Arabidopsis thaliana: one gene and its partners. The protein of the gene in region 1 interacts with the protein of each later gene in a pairwise test. Each region holds a gene or a part of one and is shown in the gene's direction. Other genes may lie near its edges.

Region 1 (5,875 bases):
TTTCATCCACGAAATCGGTTGGCTTCTACACAGAAGTGAACTCAAGTCAAGACTTGCAGCATCAGATCATAATCCAGAGGATCTGTTTTCTTTAATACGGTTTAAGTTTCTAATAGAGTTCTCAATGGACCGGGAATGGTGCTGTGTGATGAAGAAGTTATTGAATATTCTATTCGAAGAAGGCACTGTTGATCCATCTCCTGATGCTGCGTTATCAGAACTGTGTCTTCTTCACAGAGCCGTGAGGAAAAATTCAAAACCCATGGTTGAGATGCTTCTTAGATTCAGTCCCAAGAAGAAGAATCAGACATTAGCCGGTTTGTTTAGACCCGATGCAGCTGGTCCAGGCGGTTTAACACCGCTTCACATTGCAGCTGGTAAAGACGGTTCAGAAGATGTGTTGGATGCCCTGACTGAGGATCCTGGAATGGTAAATTTGAATTTGATTTCCCTCTTTGACTTATATAAACTCAAAATCTGTTTTTGTCTGATAAAAAATCTTCTTGTTTGGTTCAGACTGGTATTCAAGCCTGGAAAAATTCCCGGGACAATACCGGATTCACACCAGAAGACTATGCACGTTTACGAGGTCACTTCTCGTATATTCATCTGGTGCAACGGAAACTCAGTCGGAAACCAATCGCCAAAGAACACGTGGTGGTCAACATTCCTGAGTCTTTCAACATTGAGCACAAACAAGAAAAGAGGAGTCCAATGGATTCTTCAAGCTTGGAGATAACACAGATAAACCAATGTAAGCTCTGTGATCACAAACGTGTGTTTGTCACAACGCACCACAAGTCTGTTGCCTACAGGCCAGCAATGCTTTCGATGGTAGCGATAGCAGCGGTTTGCGTTTGTGTCGCTCTTTTGTTCAAGAGTTGCCCGGAAGTGCTATATGTCTTTCAGCCATTCAGGTGGGAATTACTTGAGTATGGAACAAGCTAGTAAAACTTCCCTATACCAGACATTGAAAAAGAATCTTCTCAATAGAAGATGTGTTGGTGTGAAATCTACGAGTGTAATTTTATGTAACGTTTAATTATTTTTACTAGAATATGTATCATTCAGCTTTACAAGATTATATGTAATGTAGCTTTATCTGATGTTAAACCCCCGAATTTGTATAACTACGTTTTTGTGTGTTTGTTACATTTTGTACTTTGTCTTTGATGGCAAATCTTGAAGTGAGTGAGAATAACAACAAATCACATAAAACACCAACCAAATCCTTTTTTTCTTTTGACATTTAATCCATCTCGATCAAGTTTTGGGCCGAATCTACGAAACTGGGCCAATTGTAAAATTCGACCCGGTTCAGCTTGGTTTACTCCACTGAAAATGTTGATCCCACCGACTCTGACAGTTGGAGCTTATAAATACACAGACGCATAGATTCATAAGTTCGTTACATCATTTTTCTTCAAATCGCTCTCTAAATTCTTCTTCAATCTTGTTTCATCAACCTTGCTTTCCAGAGAAAAATCGCTCCATAACAATGTCGACGAAGATCATGTTGAAGAGCTCCGATGGTAAATCGTTCGAGATCGACGAAGACGTGGCACGCAAATCAATCGCGATAAACCATATGGTTGAGGACGGCTGCGCCACTGATGTAATACCGCTTCGAAACGTCACAAGCAAGATTCTCAAGATTGTGATCGATTATTGCGAGAAGCACGTCAAGAGCAAAGAAGAAGAAGATCTCAAGGAGTGGGACGCTGATTTCATGAAGACGATCGAAACAACCATTCTCTTTGATGTTATGATGGCTGCGAATTATCTCAATATTCAAAGCCTTCTTGATCTCACATGTAAAACTGTCTCGGATTTGCTCCAGGCTGATTTGCTCTCAGGGAAAACTCCAGATGAGATTCGCGCGCACTTCAACATCGAGAACGATCTAACAGCAGAGGAAGTAGCTAAGATTCGTGAGGAGAATCAATGGGCTTTTCAATGAGAGAGCGGATCATCAAAGTTGTTGATGCAAATCTACGTAGCTGGTGACTTCGTCTATATCGTTTTCTTCTTTAGTGTGTGTGTGTTTTCAGTTTTCTTTATGCTTCATGTAGATTGATGACTAAGACTTCGTCTATCTCTTGTTTGTTCGGTGTGTTTCTTTTGATTTCTTGGTGTGCAAGTCAACCAATGTTTGTATCTTTGCTTTAGAGACGAATCGTTTGTTGGATTTTGGTATGCTAACCAAATCTTAAGATCGATGTTGTTAAGAGTCTTTCTTTTGTTTCTGAAGCAATTCTTGAATATATGTGAAGTCAAATCTTTTTCTCATTTTCTTACTGTAATTGAGTTTTCTAATCCGAAACAGAGTACATGACACTTCAATTTCGATATTCAACTTGGTTATTTTGGTTTATATTCTTGTATCGTAATCAGACCGATGTAAATGGTCAAGATTGAACAATCAAAAAATAAAAATAGTGTGAAAGTTTTACTCTGTAAAGTTTTTGTTCTCTTTGCGACAAAGCAGGGGTTTTCTTTTCATTTTCTCTTAAGAATAAGGTAAACGTTTGCTACTTTTGAGATTATCATCAAATTTGATTTGGGTTATAACCTCTACTCAAGCCTACAACTATATAAAATTCGAGTCTAAAGAAACAATTTGGTGGATTTAATGAAGAAAAAAATATGGGATGATTCGATATGAGGTGCAAAATGCAATCATTATGGTATTAAACAGAGGCAGATATGGTTTGGATTTATTAAAATTTGGCTATATCAAGAGGGAACACATGATAAATTTACGTGACCATAATTACTTTTCTTCTTTTCTTTTGTTTTGAATGACATAAACAAAATTTGTAGATATTTTTCTTGCTTTCGGAGTTTTTTAAAATATGGAATATACACATGTAACGTTTTAGAAAGTTTCCATTTTTTTTTCTTTTTACCTCTTTTTTGTTGGTTCACTCGTTAAACTCTTGTTACAATTGTATTGAATTAGAGCCGTTCATTATGACACGTAGATTCGGATCTGATTTCCTTTTTGTACCGAAATTAGATCAATTGGGACTAGATCCATCAAAAACCCGGTTTAGGATTGGTTTACTCAACTGAATTTTCCTTTTAGGTTAAAATAGTAATTTCATCCATTATGAAAAAAGGCAAGAATTATACCGACTCTCACAATTAGGTCTCTCTATAAATACACACCTTTTGATATCTCTCCATCATCGAAAACCTTGTAAACAAAAATCGCCACCACAAAAAGAAAAAAGAAGGAAACGATGTCGAAGATGGTTATGTTGCTGAGCTCCGATGGTGAATCTTTCCAGGTCGAAGAAGCAGTCGCGGTCCAGTCACAGACGATAGCACATATGATTGAAGACGATTGCGTCGCCAATGGAGTCCCTATCGCAAACGTTACAGGAGTCATCCTCTCGAAGGTGATCGAGTATTGCAAGAAACACGTCGTTTCTGATTCACCAACCGAAGAGAGCAAAGACGAACTCAAGAAGTGGGACGCTGAGTTCATGAAGGCCCTGGAACAGTCGTCGACTCTCTTTGATGTTATGCTGGCTGCGAATTACCTAAACATAAAAGACCTGCTTGACCTTGGTTGCCAAACTGTTGCTGACATGATCACTGGCAAGAAACCAGACGAGATTCGTGCACTTCTTGGCATCGAGAACGATTTTACACCGGAGGAGGAAGAGGAGATTCGTAAGGAGAATCAATGGGCTTTTGAATGATTCTTTAGTTTTCTTTTTCGACGTTAGTGTGCTTTCTGATCTTCTTTATCAAGATCAATGTCTCGTGTTCTTTTTTCTTTAGTTTGTTTCCGATCTCTTGAACAGTGTCTTTTGTTCTTTCTTCTCTTGTGTGTATGTGTGTTTTCTTGATCAATGTGACTTCGTTATTGTCTTTTCTAATTCCTTTGGAGATTTATATGCTTGAGCAATTTTTAAGAACGATGTTGTCAAAAAGTCTTTTTATTTTATTTCTGTATAATCTATAATCGATTTTAATGCTACACTCATTCGATATAAATCTCTTTCAGTAGAACAAGAGTTGTGCTCATTTAGAAGATGACTCTTCTTTTGTTGTTTGCTGGATAAGTTGACTTCTCATAGAACATTCTTCAATCTGCAAAACATATATATATATATATATAAAGATCTTTTAAAACTCTTATACAAAGGAAAAAAAAAGGATGCACGATGATCATAAAAGTTTAAAATATTCTCAACTTATGTAAAGAAAGGTTGAGTACTTGTGAAGCTTGCGTTTTAAGAAGAGCCACAACGCAATTTTCTGTCAATGATCTTTCACTTCTAGCCACTCTTGTTAATTCTGACAACAAACTCTCCATCTCCTTTGCCTGCAAAATGTATTATCAACAAGGATTCTGATATACAGTCAATCTTCAATAGAAATAATAAAACCCTGACATTGATACTATTCTTCTACTAACCTTTGGCATATAGTTTCCAACATTTTGTGTAATGCCGTCAACAATCTTTGAAGCAGCCACAAGTCCATCTCCTAACTGTTTAGAATCAACCTGGTTTTTGACAAGCAAACTCTTAGTTGATACGTACATGCAGATGATTCTTCCTAGTTGATATTACTCATGAGCACAAGATACCATGATATCCCCATCGAGTGGAAGCCGTAATGAAGCATTGGAAAAAGCTTGGATTGTTTGTGACACCGAAGTCGAATACTCTTCTTCAATAGCAGACCATTGCTCCAAACATGGAGTCTGAAATAATGTGAAACATTTTCTCATAAGTCTCATATACGTTTATGTGAGAGTCAATAATATGGAAGTTTAAAGTATCTTTAAGCTTACTTGAGATTCTGTAATCGCGAGAAGAGCTTTAGTTTTCAATAAACGTTGAAGCTCTATGCGTTTCCTTTGCACAGAATCATGTAATTCTGATATCTTGGAACCAAAGGAATGGATCATGGTCTACAAGATAAAACAAAACACCATTAAACATAAACAGAACCTTTAGTTCAAAGATTTTACCATAAAAGCAGACCATCAGAGAAATTAACCTCAGTTTGTGTTTTATGAGTTTGAGTCTTCACTTGTGCATTGGCGTTTGCAAATCTCCATTGGAGGTAACGATTGTGGAGCAGTTTCAGAGAATGCACATCTTCCAATTGCTCTGTAACCTTCCTCTGTTTTTTAGTATCCGCTGGAACCTTGGGTGCCATTGGAGGCAATGGCAAGCCTAAACGTGAAAACGAACTGCTCTCACGAACGTTACAGCTTGAAGATGGTGAACTCACAGATCGATTAAGAGAAGAAGGTACAGGATTGTTGAAAACTTTAAGATGAGTTCTACAAGAAAGTGTTGGAAACTGATCTGAGCCGTTAGATTTAGGTTTCTCCTGAATGTTGATGATTCCTTCTTTCTCATAACAGGCTGATATGCCGCTTAGTTGGAGAAGTCTCGTTGCAGTTGGTAATCTTTGTTGGCTTAGCCGTGATCTAGACGGTGGAGGAGGAACCATTGGTGTAGGAGTTTCGAGCCGGTGAGAATTCTCGTTGAGCGGCTTCAAGTGACTTGGTTTCGATGATTTTCGGCTTTGTGAGAGTGTAAAAGGCGAGTCTAGGCTACGCGCCGCCGTCTCTGATGAGCGATTCTCATCTCCGTCTGCCATTTTTAACTGACGTCTAAGTCTCTGAGCAGAAACAGAGCGTTGAATCTGGTGGTGTTGAAGGTGGTGCTGCTTTGGAGAATTACAAGTCAAAGAGTGGAGATCTCCGGCGGAGGAAGAGGATGAAGTAACCGGAGACATGAATCTGGAACTTACTTCTCTAACTCTTGGCCGCCGCGTTGAAGGCGGAGGAGCCGGTGTTGATGGCTGAATTTGCTTAGGTCCGCTGGTTTTCGCCTCCATA
Region 2 (6,639 bases), on another chromosome or scaffold:
AATGGATCATGTGGCGTGTGGGTTTTTTACCGACACGTGTCGGTGTCGATGACGTGGCTGATGACGTATTATATCGACGGTCTGGTCTGGTAACTTTTATAGAAGGAGAAGGAGGAAAGTTTACGATGCGGACGGTCTTACGTTTATTTTGACACGTGGCGTAGTAGATGTTAACGTGTTCTTAAATCAAATTACAAAATTACAAAAAGTAAACAACGCTTTTTAATTTTTCTCCTTCTGTTTTCTTTTTTAGTGTTAACATTATGAGATTTGTTTTACTGAAGATATTTCCTGTTATTTGGATTAATCAAAAATAACAAAAAAAAAGGTGCTGTAAAACTTAGCAATTTAAAGGTAAAGTTAAAAGAATGTTAGTATCACCACTAACTAAAGAAAAAATCACAAAAATAATATGGTATTGTTTGAATATTCTTTTTTTTTTCATTTTAGTGTTAGTATTATGAGATTTTCGTGTAAAATTTTTGCTAAAAACATTGTTAAAAAAAATTAGTTTTGTTTATCGCTTTTAAATAGTTATTATTTTTAGTTTAAAAAAAAAAAATATTATTGTTTATTATCAAAGATGATTTGGTTTCGACTACCCGTGAAATTTTCGAATGTGATTACAGTTGTCGAATAGCGTATTTACTGTATTTTATTTAAGTGGATCTAAAATATGATATAATTATGATTAATCTAAAAAGAAATGTAAATTTAAGTTATATATCACTTTTGTAAATAATTTCTCTCGGAATTATTTTTTTTAAGTCCTTAATAATATCTTATGACAAAAAAAAAAATATGAATCTAGTTATCAGGTTTCCTTGGTAAAGAAAAATTTAGATGTAAGTTTCCTATTTGTAGATTCTATAATCATAACGGGTTTCACAAACAATTATAATACTGGTATCATTCGTTGACAAGAACTAATAATAATCTGGAGTTGACTTAATTAGAAAACTTTATTTGTAAATCAATTGTCAAAAGCCATTCGTATATTCTTAATACATTATGCAAATTAAAGAAGAGTGTTACTATAATGTATGCACGAAAACTATTCAAGTGGATGTAAAGACGATTGAAATCGACGGAACGTGACGGAGCAGTTGTTGACAAGTCACCGGAGCTTTTGCAAACTTCCGATAGACACACGACCTTGTCAACGACCTGAGAGTATAAATAATTGAAAATATCAACTCGATCTCTAAACACACCACGTGGAAAGCTATGAGACCACTGTCGGCTAATGACTAATAAAAGAAGTATCGTGCACGTGTTCCACGTTGATCAACAGCCACTTCACTGGCTGATGTCTCTGTTATTCAGATAGTGACTTAAGACGGCATTATATTGTCTTCAAGGGAAATATTAAAACGCTGCGTTTCCGTGTGATGGAATAATTTTGCAACCGTTGCCACTTTTACTTTTGGGAATTTGGTTGAACAGCAACTTGTTTTTTTTTTTTTGGTAAATATTTTTGGTTGAACTTGTCATTCAATGTAGCAAAACTTAGTAAAAATGCTACAAAACATAAAGATTTTCAAATGTGCCAAACCTCAGCTCTATGGACGATTTCCCTGTTCTAACTATACTAAAATGCATAGTTTTGGTGTAGTGATTAACAAAAATATGTATGGAATATAATCATGATGATAATGATAATGGTAAGATTATGCTTTTACTTTTGATTAAAAGCTAGTGATATGATTTGCCTCTTAATTTGAGTAGATGATTTTCAATGTTTGGTACTATTTTCATTGTTTTAGTGGGAAGAAAACAAAGAGATTTGGTGTTCAATGTAGCGTTAGTTAAGTAGATGAAAAGAGATACGTTGATGCTAATGATGATGTTATGATGTTTGATACTTTATATGTTTAATCATCATATTATCATTAATATGCTTTGTTTAAATGGTGATCTTTATGCTCTGTTTTGGCTTCTACTATATATATATGCTGTATTTTTCTATGGGAAAGCAAAGCATAAGTAACGACAGTTGAAGTCCAAGTAAAGTACTAGATTGTTTCATGCCCATTGTGCAAGAGCCATATTTTATTTATTAACAAAACATCCAACTGAGACTGGAGATACATAAAAGCTTGGAACATAATCCACTTTCAAGTGTTTGCTAACCACCGAGTGAGACAATGAACCAATATGTTATCAAACAAATGTGATAAACAAATACAAATTCTCCAATCGATTAGGCAGAACCGCAGCATTAGCTAGTGGATAAATCAAGAGTTCAAGAATCGAACACACAACATTCATTAACTTGTGTCTTGATGATGTCAAATTGTGAATCATGACTCAAAATGTATTACAACCATCATCATCATTAGGCCTCAATGCATCTCTTGTCTATGATCTAAAACGTATAGACAACACAAGGAACAAGCCGCCATGAGTGATCTGAGACAACTTTCCTTAAGGTAAGTAAACTGGTCATGGCATTTAATGCTTTTGAGTTTCAGAGTCTGGTTGATGTATAAGGGAAGATTTTTAAGTTTAGATAAGGGAAGTTTCACCCAAATATCATCTTTTGGTGTCGATCGATATTTCATATTTGATATTTTGTCCCACATTTTTGTTGATAATGTCAATATTGATATTATTTTATGCATGAGGTCTTGATATCATAGTTCAATTTTCGTTTTAGTCAAAATTGATGACTTTTTATTTTTCATTTTTTAAATAACTAATAGGTTCTAGGCCTAGGGGATTTGGTATTATGTTGTGCTTATATATAGGTTAATTTGTTTATATTCTTTTCAGATATAATCCTATTAGAAGATAGCATATTCGATATAAGTTTGTTTATGATTCTTAAAGTATATTCTCCTTGTATATAGGACGATCGTAGATATCACTAGATATGGGGAACTGTAATGCCTTTATATTGAAATCAATAGAGAATGATCTCCTCAACGGAGACTTTCATTAGCTTTCAAATCCAACATACTTATTAAGTAGGGCTCCTTCATCTTTTTCTTTTCTCCTCCTCCATCGTACGATATGTCTTCTCCAGCAGCCTCCACCACCAACGAGCCACGGCACGAGAATATTCATAGAGTTTCGTCGTCATCGTTATTCTCATTAGTAAAAGGACTCATAACAGGTTTACTCCAAAGTCAACTCATGAGACGAGCTATAAACTTAATCAACCGAAACCCTAGACCATACGATATTGCCGCGGACCAATCTTCTTTGTTGTTTTCGTCATTACCTTATGATGTAGTTTTGAACTGCTTAGCTCGTGTCTCCAGACGCTACTACCCAAACCTCTCTTGTGTTTCCAAAAGCTTCCAATCCCTTGTGCGTTCTCCTGAGCTTGCACATATGCGATCCTTAATAGGCAAAGATGATCCCGTCGTTTATGTTTGCTTTTCCGATACTAAGCCTTTTTTGGGCAGGAGACTTGATTGGTTTACTTTGAATCCAAACGAGAAGAAAACAAGTGTTCTTAACTCATTTCAGGTTTTTTCTTACTATATGTTGTATTGTCCCTCCGTCTCCATAGGTTCAAAGATCTACTTCGTTGGAGGATGCATGTACAAATGTTTGCCGGGCCTATTGATCTTTGATTCCTGGTCCGGCGAGTTGTGTGTGGGTCCTAGCATGAAGGAGGCTCGCATGTTACCGGGCGTGGCAGTAGTAAATGGGAAACTATACGTAATGGGAGGGTGCCGCGAAGACCAAATCCAAGTGGAGGTTTTCGACCCGAATTCACAAACTTGGGAAGTTGGACCTTTAAGTTCAGATGGGGAAGTCCGATACGGAAAAGGGTTAATGCGATATGGAGCAATTGTGACTGAAGCTGTAGCATTGGAAGGGAAGGTTTATTGTATGAGTTATAAAGATGGGAGTCACATAATCTACGATACGAAAGATGGAAAATGTGAGACTTTTTTGATGGCAGATGGAAAGGCATGGAGGAGAGGTGGAGTGTGTGTGGTAAACAGTGTGATCTATGTTTATTACATTAATCTTGGGGTAATGTGGTATGACCCTAAAGATAAGGTATGGAGAGAGGTTAAAGGTTTGAATAAGCTTGATTATAAATCAATTGACATGGTTGGGATGGTGGATTGCAATGGGAAACTTGGGTTTCTGTGGGGAAATAACACGAGAGAAATTATTAGTGGAAGAACCGAGAAGAGGATTTGGTGTGAGATGATCGTGTTGGAGAGGAGTGGAGTAGAAATCCATGGAACGGTCGAGTGGTCTGATCTCGTTGGATTTGTTCCTCATGACTATGAAATTTGGCGTTGTCTAGGTGTTTCTTATTAAAACTTAGTTTATGATGGTAATGGTGTGATGACGTTTTCTTACTTTGTGAATTACCATATTACTAATATGTTGCATTGGCTGAGCAGAATTGTGAGCATCACAGATTAAACATGATTTGCATCTTTGGTTGCTTTTCATTTTTAATATAGCACTTACGATAAATAGGTACCTATATACCAAAAACGTGTATTTGAAAAACAAAACAAGCTTTTAAACTTACAAAAAGTAACTGAAGGTTATAAAATATATAATCCTATTTACCATGACATTTGGCGTTGTCTAGATGTTTAAACAGTTTTTCTTGTAGTAGCATTTCTGATCAAAACTATAAAAGAGATGCTTATGATAGTAATGATGTTGTGAAACGTTTTCTTACTTTTTGTATGACAATTTTATTAATATAGCGTCTTACTTAGCTAAAAAGTTGATGTATGACAATTCAACAATAGAATTGTCTACTCTAGATGATCGACTGTTGTATCTGAAATCTAGATATACAAGTTTCTATGCGATTTTGGGCATTTCAGTATATGTCATCTAAATTCGTATCCAACTTTACGTGGTTCATGACTTGTCGACTTAGAGTAGGATTAGAATAGATTTGGCAAGCTAGTTTTACACCACATGTCACGGGAATATCCGTGTGAGTAGGTTGGCTCAATGATATTGAATTATTGATATATACTTACTCCAAGACTTGCCCACAACAAGTGGAGTTTAGCTTTTAATACGAGTCCCTCGGCCATGATTAGGGGTTTGGGGAGAGAATTAACGTCTGATCAAGAAAATATCAGAGGAGTAATTAGGAAGAAAAATCCAATCGAAATGTACAAGATTTGTCTAAAACACAAACAACACAATCATAATTTATCCTTTTTGATAATTTTACAGGATTTAATCACGCAGTAGTGTACAACACACAGTAGCTTTGCGATGAGCTTGGTACACCATCTCTTCTTTTCCCGCTCGCATCGACCACAATCTAGCCGTGGTGTCCGATGATGCTAATAGTACAAAGTGAAAACCAGTTTAAATACTCTTTTGTCTCACACAAGTTTTCCAGTGTAAAGAGATTAAGTAGTACCTGTTACAAGATATTCTCCATCCATTGAGAAGTCACAGTCCCATACCCATCTTTCATGACCTGTTAAATGATATTGATGAGAGTGTAAAAGAGAACACATACCCCTTTCAGAAACACGGAGAGACCATATACCTGTTAAAACTTTCTCAAGTTTGAAACCATCAAGGTTCCATATTTTGACTGTTTTATCAGATGATGCGGTCGCTAGATATCTGCTAACAAATATATAAGACCTTACAAAAAGAAAGAAGACAAAGAAAACAGGTTGCAAGAGAAAGAAGAAGAAACACATAATTACTTGTTTCCAGGAGAAAGGAGACATTTAAGGATGTGGCTATTATGAGCTTGTAGCTTATGAAGGGGCTCAAACTCGGTCATCGTCTAGCAAAAAACACAATCAAATTTTTAAATGACATGAACAATTATTTCAGCATAATGGAAGAAAGAAAGTTTTTCTTATGATTAGAACAGTACTTGTCTTTCACACAAGGAGCGCCATACATAACATGTTCCACGGTCGTTAGCAGCAACCACCATTGTCCCATCCCACATAACCGTTAAAGACCGTATAGGTGTACCGACTTCTGGTACCTATATATAGTTATACACCAAAGTAATATTATATATCTACAGATTCTTAGAAAATGTAACTAGGATAAAGAAATGTACCAGTTCACAGCTACACAAATCTGCTCTGAGATCCCATACACGTATATTACCGTTTTGGTCTCCAGATATCAATTCAGTCTATAAAAAAGGATAACAAGTAAGACAACTAAGCCGATTGCTACAAAACAACACTAAGATATGTACCTGATTTGGGTGTAAAACAACTGTGTTAACTGGTGAAACACTTCTAAACTCCCTTTGGCATTCTCGAACCCTGCATTTTCGGTTCACGGGTCAAATCAAAATGAGCATTGAGCTATATATAGAAGAGAGAAAAAAAAAACATGAATGTGCTATATACCTCAAGTCCCAGATCTTAACAGAGCCATCTTCTGACCCTGAATACATCATGTGTCCAGTATATTGGAATCCTACCGCCATAACATTTTTGGTGTGTGATACAAAATTCCTCACCTAATGTGCACAAAGACTCCATCAAGATCATTCATATATTCAATCAAAAGGAAAGATAAACAAACAAAAACCACATCAAAAAGAAGGATATTTACAGGTATATGAGGGTTGTAGGATCTGAGATCAAAGAGTCGTATGTGAGGATTGCAAGCTGCTACTAGTTTACCCTTTTCAGGGGTTAG
Region 3 (6,639 bases), on another chromosome or scaffold:
GTATAAGTTGTAATGCCAACAAAATAGTGAGTGGTCCCGTGGCACGAAAAAAAATGTAGGTGGTCCACAATATATTTTTAGTTGACTATATTAGTCTAGTAAACATATACAAAACTAATGTATGTAAGTAAAAGCATAAATAAAGGAGAATAAGTATGCATCATATTTGATTAAACAAATACTGAAAGTGTTGCTGTTGATAAAAATAAAAATAAAATACTGAAAGTGATAAACAACCATTTTGGTTTTAAACAGTATTTTGCTCTAATTATAAAGTAAAAACATATATTTATTTCCATTTGACTCCTATATAACAATAAACATGTGAATGCCAGATTAGACTAAAGAAGCTGTGAGGATCATTATACATCCTAGCTAGCCTCATAGGCCTACTACACTTATTATTGAGGGTCAACTTTGGGTTGTTTGATTAACAAAATGTATGGCATCTTTTTAAACAAATATATATTTACATTCACTTATCTTCTTACAATGTGATTTGTCCCTTTTAAGGAATCTTGTCCCCCATAAATCATTTGGGACAAAAGAATAAATGAAAAATTTCTCACATTTAAACAAAAATGTTAACACTAACATATATTTAAAATCATATTCTTATTACATTATTTATTTTTAAAATCATACTATTTAAAAATGTTTTTCAATATAAATATATTCTTATTACATTATTTATTAATAAAACCATACTACTTTTTTTTCTTTTAGTATATGATCTCTTTAGTTTTTACTTTTTTGTCTTTTATGTTTTGTTTAATTAATAATCTCGAGTTTTATACTAAACTGAAAGTGCACATGAATATGATATGTATTAAGTTGGATATTGAATCCCACAAAATCAAAAGATTTGATGAACTAAAAAAGTTCACGCAGCAAATTTGTTTTTCATTTGCTGAAGTTTTTATTGACTAATTAATTAGTTAACTAAAACCTGAAAGAAAAGAAAAAACGGAGGTAATAGTTTAGGGTACTGACGTGTGAGCTTACGCAATTTTCGAATTAGGAAGTGAGCTAGATTCTAGGGCTGTGATACGTGAATGTATATACTTTCTGTTTCGTGTTCAAGTCATATTTTAGTTTTTGTTTTGGTAAAAGAAGTCATATTTTAGCTGTGAAATTACAAATATATTTTTGTGATAACATTATAAATATATATTAACATGTGGAACCCTAATTCTCATTAAACTGCTCACGTTAAAGCACATGCAGTACACCAACCATTTAAATTGTTTTGCTTAGCACGATTTTGTTTCATTCATGATTCAAAACTTCAATTTTTCTTCGTCTGTTTTTATATAAATATTCGAAACATTTATAGAATTTTTTTGTTTTTAATTTGTAATTTGGATGTGGTCAAAAATCATACTTGGATCTATATTGATGTTATACATTTCACGACTTCAAAAGAAACTATTGCTCGCTCTATTTCTGTCATTAATTAACTCATAACTTAACTTACACAAAAATTGAGATGATGACAATCATGAAACTATTTAAAAAGAAAAAGACCAGACCGGCCAATGTTAGACTAGGATTAGTGGCTATTATTCTAGTGACAGGGGTGCGATGAGTACCATTGTTTTTGAACATGTCTCTTTGTCTTCGCGATGAACCAAGCGGTCCCAAAAGTATTGGCAATAGATAGAGCCTCAATACCTTTAATTAATTATAAATTTCCCTGAATTTATATTCTCCAAAAATGAATGTTATTTTTTTCATCAATCAAAAAAAGTTGTTGGGTTTTAGTCCACCAAAAAGATGTTTGAGTTTCGATTGTTTGTGTTCAAAAAATCAAATTACATAACAAAAGCCAGAACTTTTTTTTATATCAAAAAGTAAAGAAAAAATAAGAAAAACAAAAAATCATAACTTTTTTTATTGAGGTGATAAGGAATGTAATTTATTGACGTCTTGTGAACCCGATATAAATCTAAAACTTGAAGTAGCTAATGAAACATAACAGGAAATGTTGGAGTGGTATAGAAATTACCTTTAATTTACCTTTAATTGTATAGAAATTAAAGATAAAATAAAAAGATAAATCTATGAAACAATTATTTTGTCTATATACCAAAAGGGTTAGTTTTCTTGTGTTTAGTTTTTTGGAATGGAAATATATTATTTAAATTGGAATATTTTTTTGGTTGAACACAATTGGAATATGTAAAGGTTGATTTCATGTACTTGAAAGATTATGGTCAGAAGCCTTCTCACACGGTTAAGAAAAATAAAAAAAATATGTTGTCTATTTATTTGGTTCAAATTAAGTTTTTGTGTGGGCTTTGTGGGCTAGCTATTTAGTATGGGCCTAGATCTGGACTTCTGTAAATCTTAGGACTACACTTAACTCTATTACTCTCATAGTATGCCACTATGTGGGGTCTATGGCCACTATTGCTATCAATTATTACATATTTACATTACTTACGTACATTTTCGTATTTCTAATGTAATTTTTTTGTTTAGAAACTTATATAAGTGGGAAGTTTTAGAGCTAAATCTGAATTTTCTCAACTGGGGAGAAAAACTCCCTTGTCTCATCATCCCATTCCACTCACCACGAAAACTCAATTTGTTACATTAACATTATGTGTAACCTTTTCGAGAATCGCGTTTCACAAAAATATCTATTATTTGACCAGAGTCAACGGTTACGTGAATCTGATTCCAATTGCGTTCCAACTTCCAAGTTCCAACACTTCACAAACAAAAACAAATATCTTCCCTCAAATCTCAATCTTCAAAAAAAAAACAAATATCTTTCACAAAATATGATGACGTGGAAGAAGCGAGTGGTTGAGTAGGCTAGATATTTTCTCGGAATATCCCCTGGTGACGTGTTACAATCGAACAAGAGTAGACTTACTTTTTTTAAACATACCCCTGATATATCCTTTTAATTACGAAAATTGCCACCAACTCCTGGCGCGAAGACTTCTTGCCTCGTCTTAAATATAAAGGGTATATTCGTCAATAAGTCACCAACTAAGCCAAGATATTTTAAAAGTTTAAACAGACACAAAAAGAAATAAAATATCATAAGGCTGAGAGCTTATCAGAGAAGAAGAAGATATTTCTGTAAGCGAGAAAAATGGCGAGAGAACATGCGATCGGAGAAGCCACCGGAAAACGAAAGAAACGCGGCAGAGTTGAAGAAGCAGAAGAATACTGTAACGATGGAATCGAAGAACAAGTAGAGGATGAGAAGCTTCCGTTAGAGGTTGGGATGTTCTATTACCCAATGACTCCGCCTTCGTTCATTGTTTCCGATGCTCTGGAGCCAGATTTTCCTTTGATCTATGTCAACAGAGTCTTCGAAGTCTTCACTGGCTATCGTGCCGATGAAGTTCTTGGTCGTAACTGGTATATTAATTTCTCCGATTTCCCCCTTTTTGAATTGGAGTGTGTTGTTATCAATTCTCTTGAATAATGCTGCATTTGTGGTTGAATCTGCTTGGTTTCAGTCGATTCCTACAGTACAGAGATCCTCGAGCTCAAAGGCGTCACCCATTGGTTGATCCTGTGGTTGTATCTGAGATTAGGAGATGTCTTGAAGAAGGTATTGAATTCCAAGGAGAGCTTCTTAATTTCAGAAAAGATGGTACTCCTTTGGTTAACAGACTACGGCTTGCTCCAATACGTGACGATGATGGAACCATTACACACGTAATTGGGATACAGGTCTTCTCTGAAACGACTATAGACCTTGACCGTGTCTCGTATCCTGTGTTCAAACATAAACAACAGCTTGATCAAACATCTGAGTGCTTGTTTCCAAGTGGAAGCCCGAGGTTTAAGGAGCATCATGAAGATTTCTGTGGGATATTGCAGCTATCTGATGAAGTTTTGGCTCATAACATCTTATCTCGGTTAACTCCAAGGGACGTTGCTTCAATTGGTTCTGCTTGCAGGAGGTTGAGGCAGTTGACGAAGAACGAGAGTGTGAGGAAGATGGTATGTCAGAATGCGTGGGGAAAAGAGATAACTGGAACACTGGAGATTATGACTAAGAAGCTAAGATGGGGTCGGTTAGCTAGAGAGCTCACCACTCTTGAAGCTGTGTGTTGGCGTAAATTTACTGTTGGAGGGATTGTACAACCTTCCCGCTGCAATTTCAGCGCGTGTGCTGTTGGGAACCGGCTTGTGCTATTTGGTGGGGAAGGGGTTAACATGCAGCCATTGGATGATACTTTTGTTCTCAATCTTGATGCAGAGTGTCCTGAGTGGCAGCGTGTGAGGGTGACGTCGTCGCCTCCAGGACGTTGGGGACACACACTCTCGTGTCTCAACGGGTCGTGGTTGGTAGTCTTTGGAGGGTGTGGAAGACAAGGATTGCTTAATGATGTATTTGTGCTTGATCTAGACGCTAAGCATCCCACATGGAAGGAAGTAGCAGGAGGAACTCCTCCATTGCCAAGATCTTGGCACAGCTCGTGCACCATTGAGGGCTCTAAACTGGTTGTCTCAGGTGGCTGCACAGACGCTGGAGTGCTTCTCAGCGACACCTTCTTGTTGGATCTGACAACAGATAAACCGACATGGAAAGAGATCCCGACATCATGGGCTCCTCCTTCTAGACTTGGGCATTCTTTATCGGTCTTTGGTCGGACTAAAATCCTAATGTTTGGCGGGCTTGCAAATAGTGGTCATCTAAAGCTAAGGTCAGGGGAGGCATACACTATAGACTTGGAGGATGAAGAACCAAGATGGAGAGAGCTTGAGTGTAGCGCATTCCCAGGCGTGGTTGTACCGCCTCCAAGACTAGACCATGTGGCTGTGAGCATGCCGTGTGGTAGGGTCATCATCTTTGGAGGGTCGATTGCAGGGCTTCACTCTCCTTCGCAACTGTTTCTAATAGATCCTGCAGAAGAGAAACCGTCATGGAGGATCCTGAATGTCCCCGGGAAACCGCCTAAGTTAGCTTGGGGACATAGCACATGCGTTGTTGGAGGAACTAGAGTATTGGTCCTTGGTGGTCACACTGGTGAGGAATGGATACTCAATGAATTACATGAACTCTGCTTGGCTAGCCGGCAAGACTCGGATCTGTAAAGACTCTTTCCTTCTTCATTTGGTTTGTGGTTTTGTATCTGTCACATTCCAAACTCTTACGACATGTAGAAGAGATATATCAGAAGCTAGAAGCGTGTGTACATAGTAAATTAGTGATTGTTGTACGCTTTAGATAGATATTCATGTAATGTTAATGGTTTTGCTGTATGAAGATCCTTCTATAATATACTTCTCCTTGTTACTCGACCATGCAGGATTTGATTTTTGACGTACCATCCAAAAGAGAGAAGACACTGAGTTTGGACATATATATATATATCCACAAACCCAAAAGTAGAAATAATCACACAACACCTCAAGTAAATAGAATGAAGAAACCGAAAAAGTAAAGTACACAAACTTCAATACAGAGCTAAAACCTATACAGCCAAACAAACTACTTCCATAGGACAGAAAATGTTATGCGAAAATGTCAAACATCTCTCCCTCCACCCTTTTTTCTTGTCGTCATCGCTAAGCAGTGTAAGCCGATCTAAGTCAGAAAGCATACTTATCTTTTTCATCCTTAAGTTCTATGGTAATTCAATAAATCACAGAGGATGTAAAGGAAAGCAAGAGAAATAAAAAAGAGATATAAAGGTTAAAAAGAGCTTAAAAATCACACCAGCCTATAACGGTTTTACTTGTTTAAACTGATACGACCACAAGAACTAGTCACATCTCCTCCCTCATCTCATTGTGTACTCCTTGTTAACCCACTTCGGCCAGCAGCTCTGCAGAATATCGAACACCAAGCTTAGTCTGATTGCTAAAATCGCAATTTGATCATAAAAATAGACAAAGATATTCAACATTGTTAGATACCTTGCAGCAAGAATCTGGGCGGTGTTGGATGAGGGTTTGGTGTTTGAAGACCTTTTAGCTCTATTATCCTGATCTTTATCCACACGCATTGCAGCAACCTCTTTCTCCATTGCAGCCACTTCCCTTCTCATCTTCTTTGCTTCAACTTCCATTGCCTTTGTTAAAGTTTCAACCTTTTTTGCTAACATCTACAAGAAAAATATCAAGACTTCCATTACAAACACGTCTTTTTAACAACATTTTATATGGTACATTCAGAGAGATTTTACCTCTATGGCATCATCCTTGTCTTTGAGGCTTTGATCCTTTTCATGCGAAGATTTTCTCAAGGCGACTACTTCCTTCTGTAGTAAATCATACAAAACCCCTGGGACATTGTCTTCGGTTGCTGGTGCAGGGAGTTCACTTGGTGGCTTCTCTTCTGAATCTTCTTTCCAGGTATTAGGTGACTCTGATTCTTTGGTTTCATCACAAGCCTTGTTGAACGAATAATTCCCAGGTCCTTTTAAGAGTGCTTTGCCTCTATCCAATGATCTTGTGCCTCCATCGAATGACTTGGATGTTCCTTTAGCATTCTTCAATACCGAGGTGGAATTAGAAGTAAAGGAATTTCTCATCGGAGTTTTCTTTGACAAAAAGCCATTTGACGCAAACTTTTGTAAATTATCTGATCCACCGATTGACTGCCTGCGAGACGGTCCATTACTCATGCTTCTTCCCTCAGGTGTGTTCCTTATGCTGATG

What was found.
Region 2: the proteins of SK13 (region 1) and AT2G22030 interact in a two-hybrid assay, tested with the Arabidopsis thaliana proteins (one study listed by BioGRID).
Region 3: the proteins of SK13 (region 1) and FKF1 interact in a two-hybrid assay, tested with the Arabidopsis thaliana proteins (2 studies listed by BioGRID).

What each region holds. Positions count from the first base shown.
Region 1 is NC_003074.8:22,160,929-22,166,803, reverse strand, and holds SK13 (SKP1-like 13), read left to right. Parts: upstream 1-3,202; 5' UTR 3,203-3,245; coding exon 3,246-3,710; 3' UTR 3,711-3,890; downstream 3,891-5,875. Other genes in the region: SPL12 (squamosa promoter-binding protein-like 12), read left to right, coding at 1-430, 517-948; SK5 (SKP1-like 5), read left to right, coding at 1,499-1,960; QWRF6 (QWRF motif protein (DUF566)), read right to left, coding at 4,036-4,104, 4,232-4,339, 4,433-4,522, 4,607-4,723, 4,814-4,933, 5,023-5,874. UniProt on the Arabidopsis thaliana protein: Involved in ubiquitination and subsequent proteasomal degradation of target proteins. Together with CUL1, RBX1 and a F-box protein, it forms a SCF E3 ubiquitin ligase complex. The functional specificity of this complex depends on the type of F-box protein.
Region 2 is NC_003071.7:9,369,392-9,376,030, forward strand, and holds AT2G22030 (Galactose oxidase/kelch repeat superfamily protein), read left to right. Parts: upstream 1-3,138; coding exon 3,139-4,290; downstream 4,291-6,639. Other genes in the region: LST8-2 (Transducin/WD40 repeat-like superfamily protein), read right to left, coding at 5,185-5,294, 5,375-5,434, 5,507-5,589, 5,673-5,755, 5,849-5,965, 6,044-6,121, 6,188-6,257, 6,345-6,457 and 1 more.
Region 3 is NC_003070.9:25,505,628-25,512,266, forward strand, and holds FKF1 (flavin-binding, kelch repeat, f box 1), read left to right. Parts: upstream 1-3,011; 5' UTR 3,012-3,109; coding exon 3,110-3,381; intron 3,382-3,482; coding exon 3,483-5,070; 3' UTR 5,071-5,280; downstream 5,281-6,639. Other genes in the region: MAP70-1 (microtubule-associated proteins 70-1), read right to left, coding at 5,765-5,804, 5,896-6,083, 6,165-6,639. UniProt on the Arabidopsis thaliana protein: Component of an E3 ubiquitin ligase complex that plays a central role in blue light-dependent circadian cycles.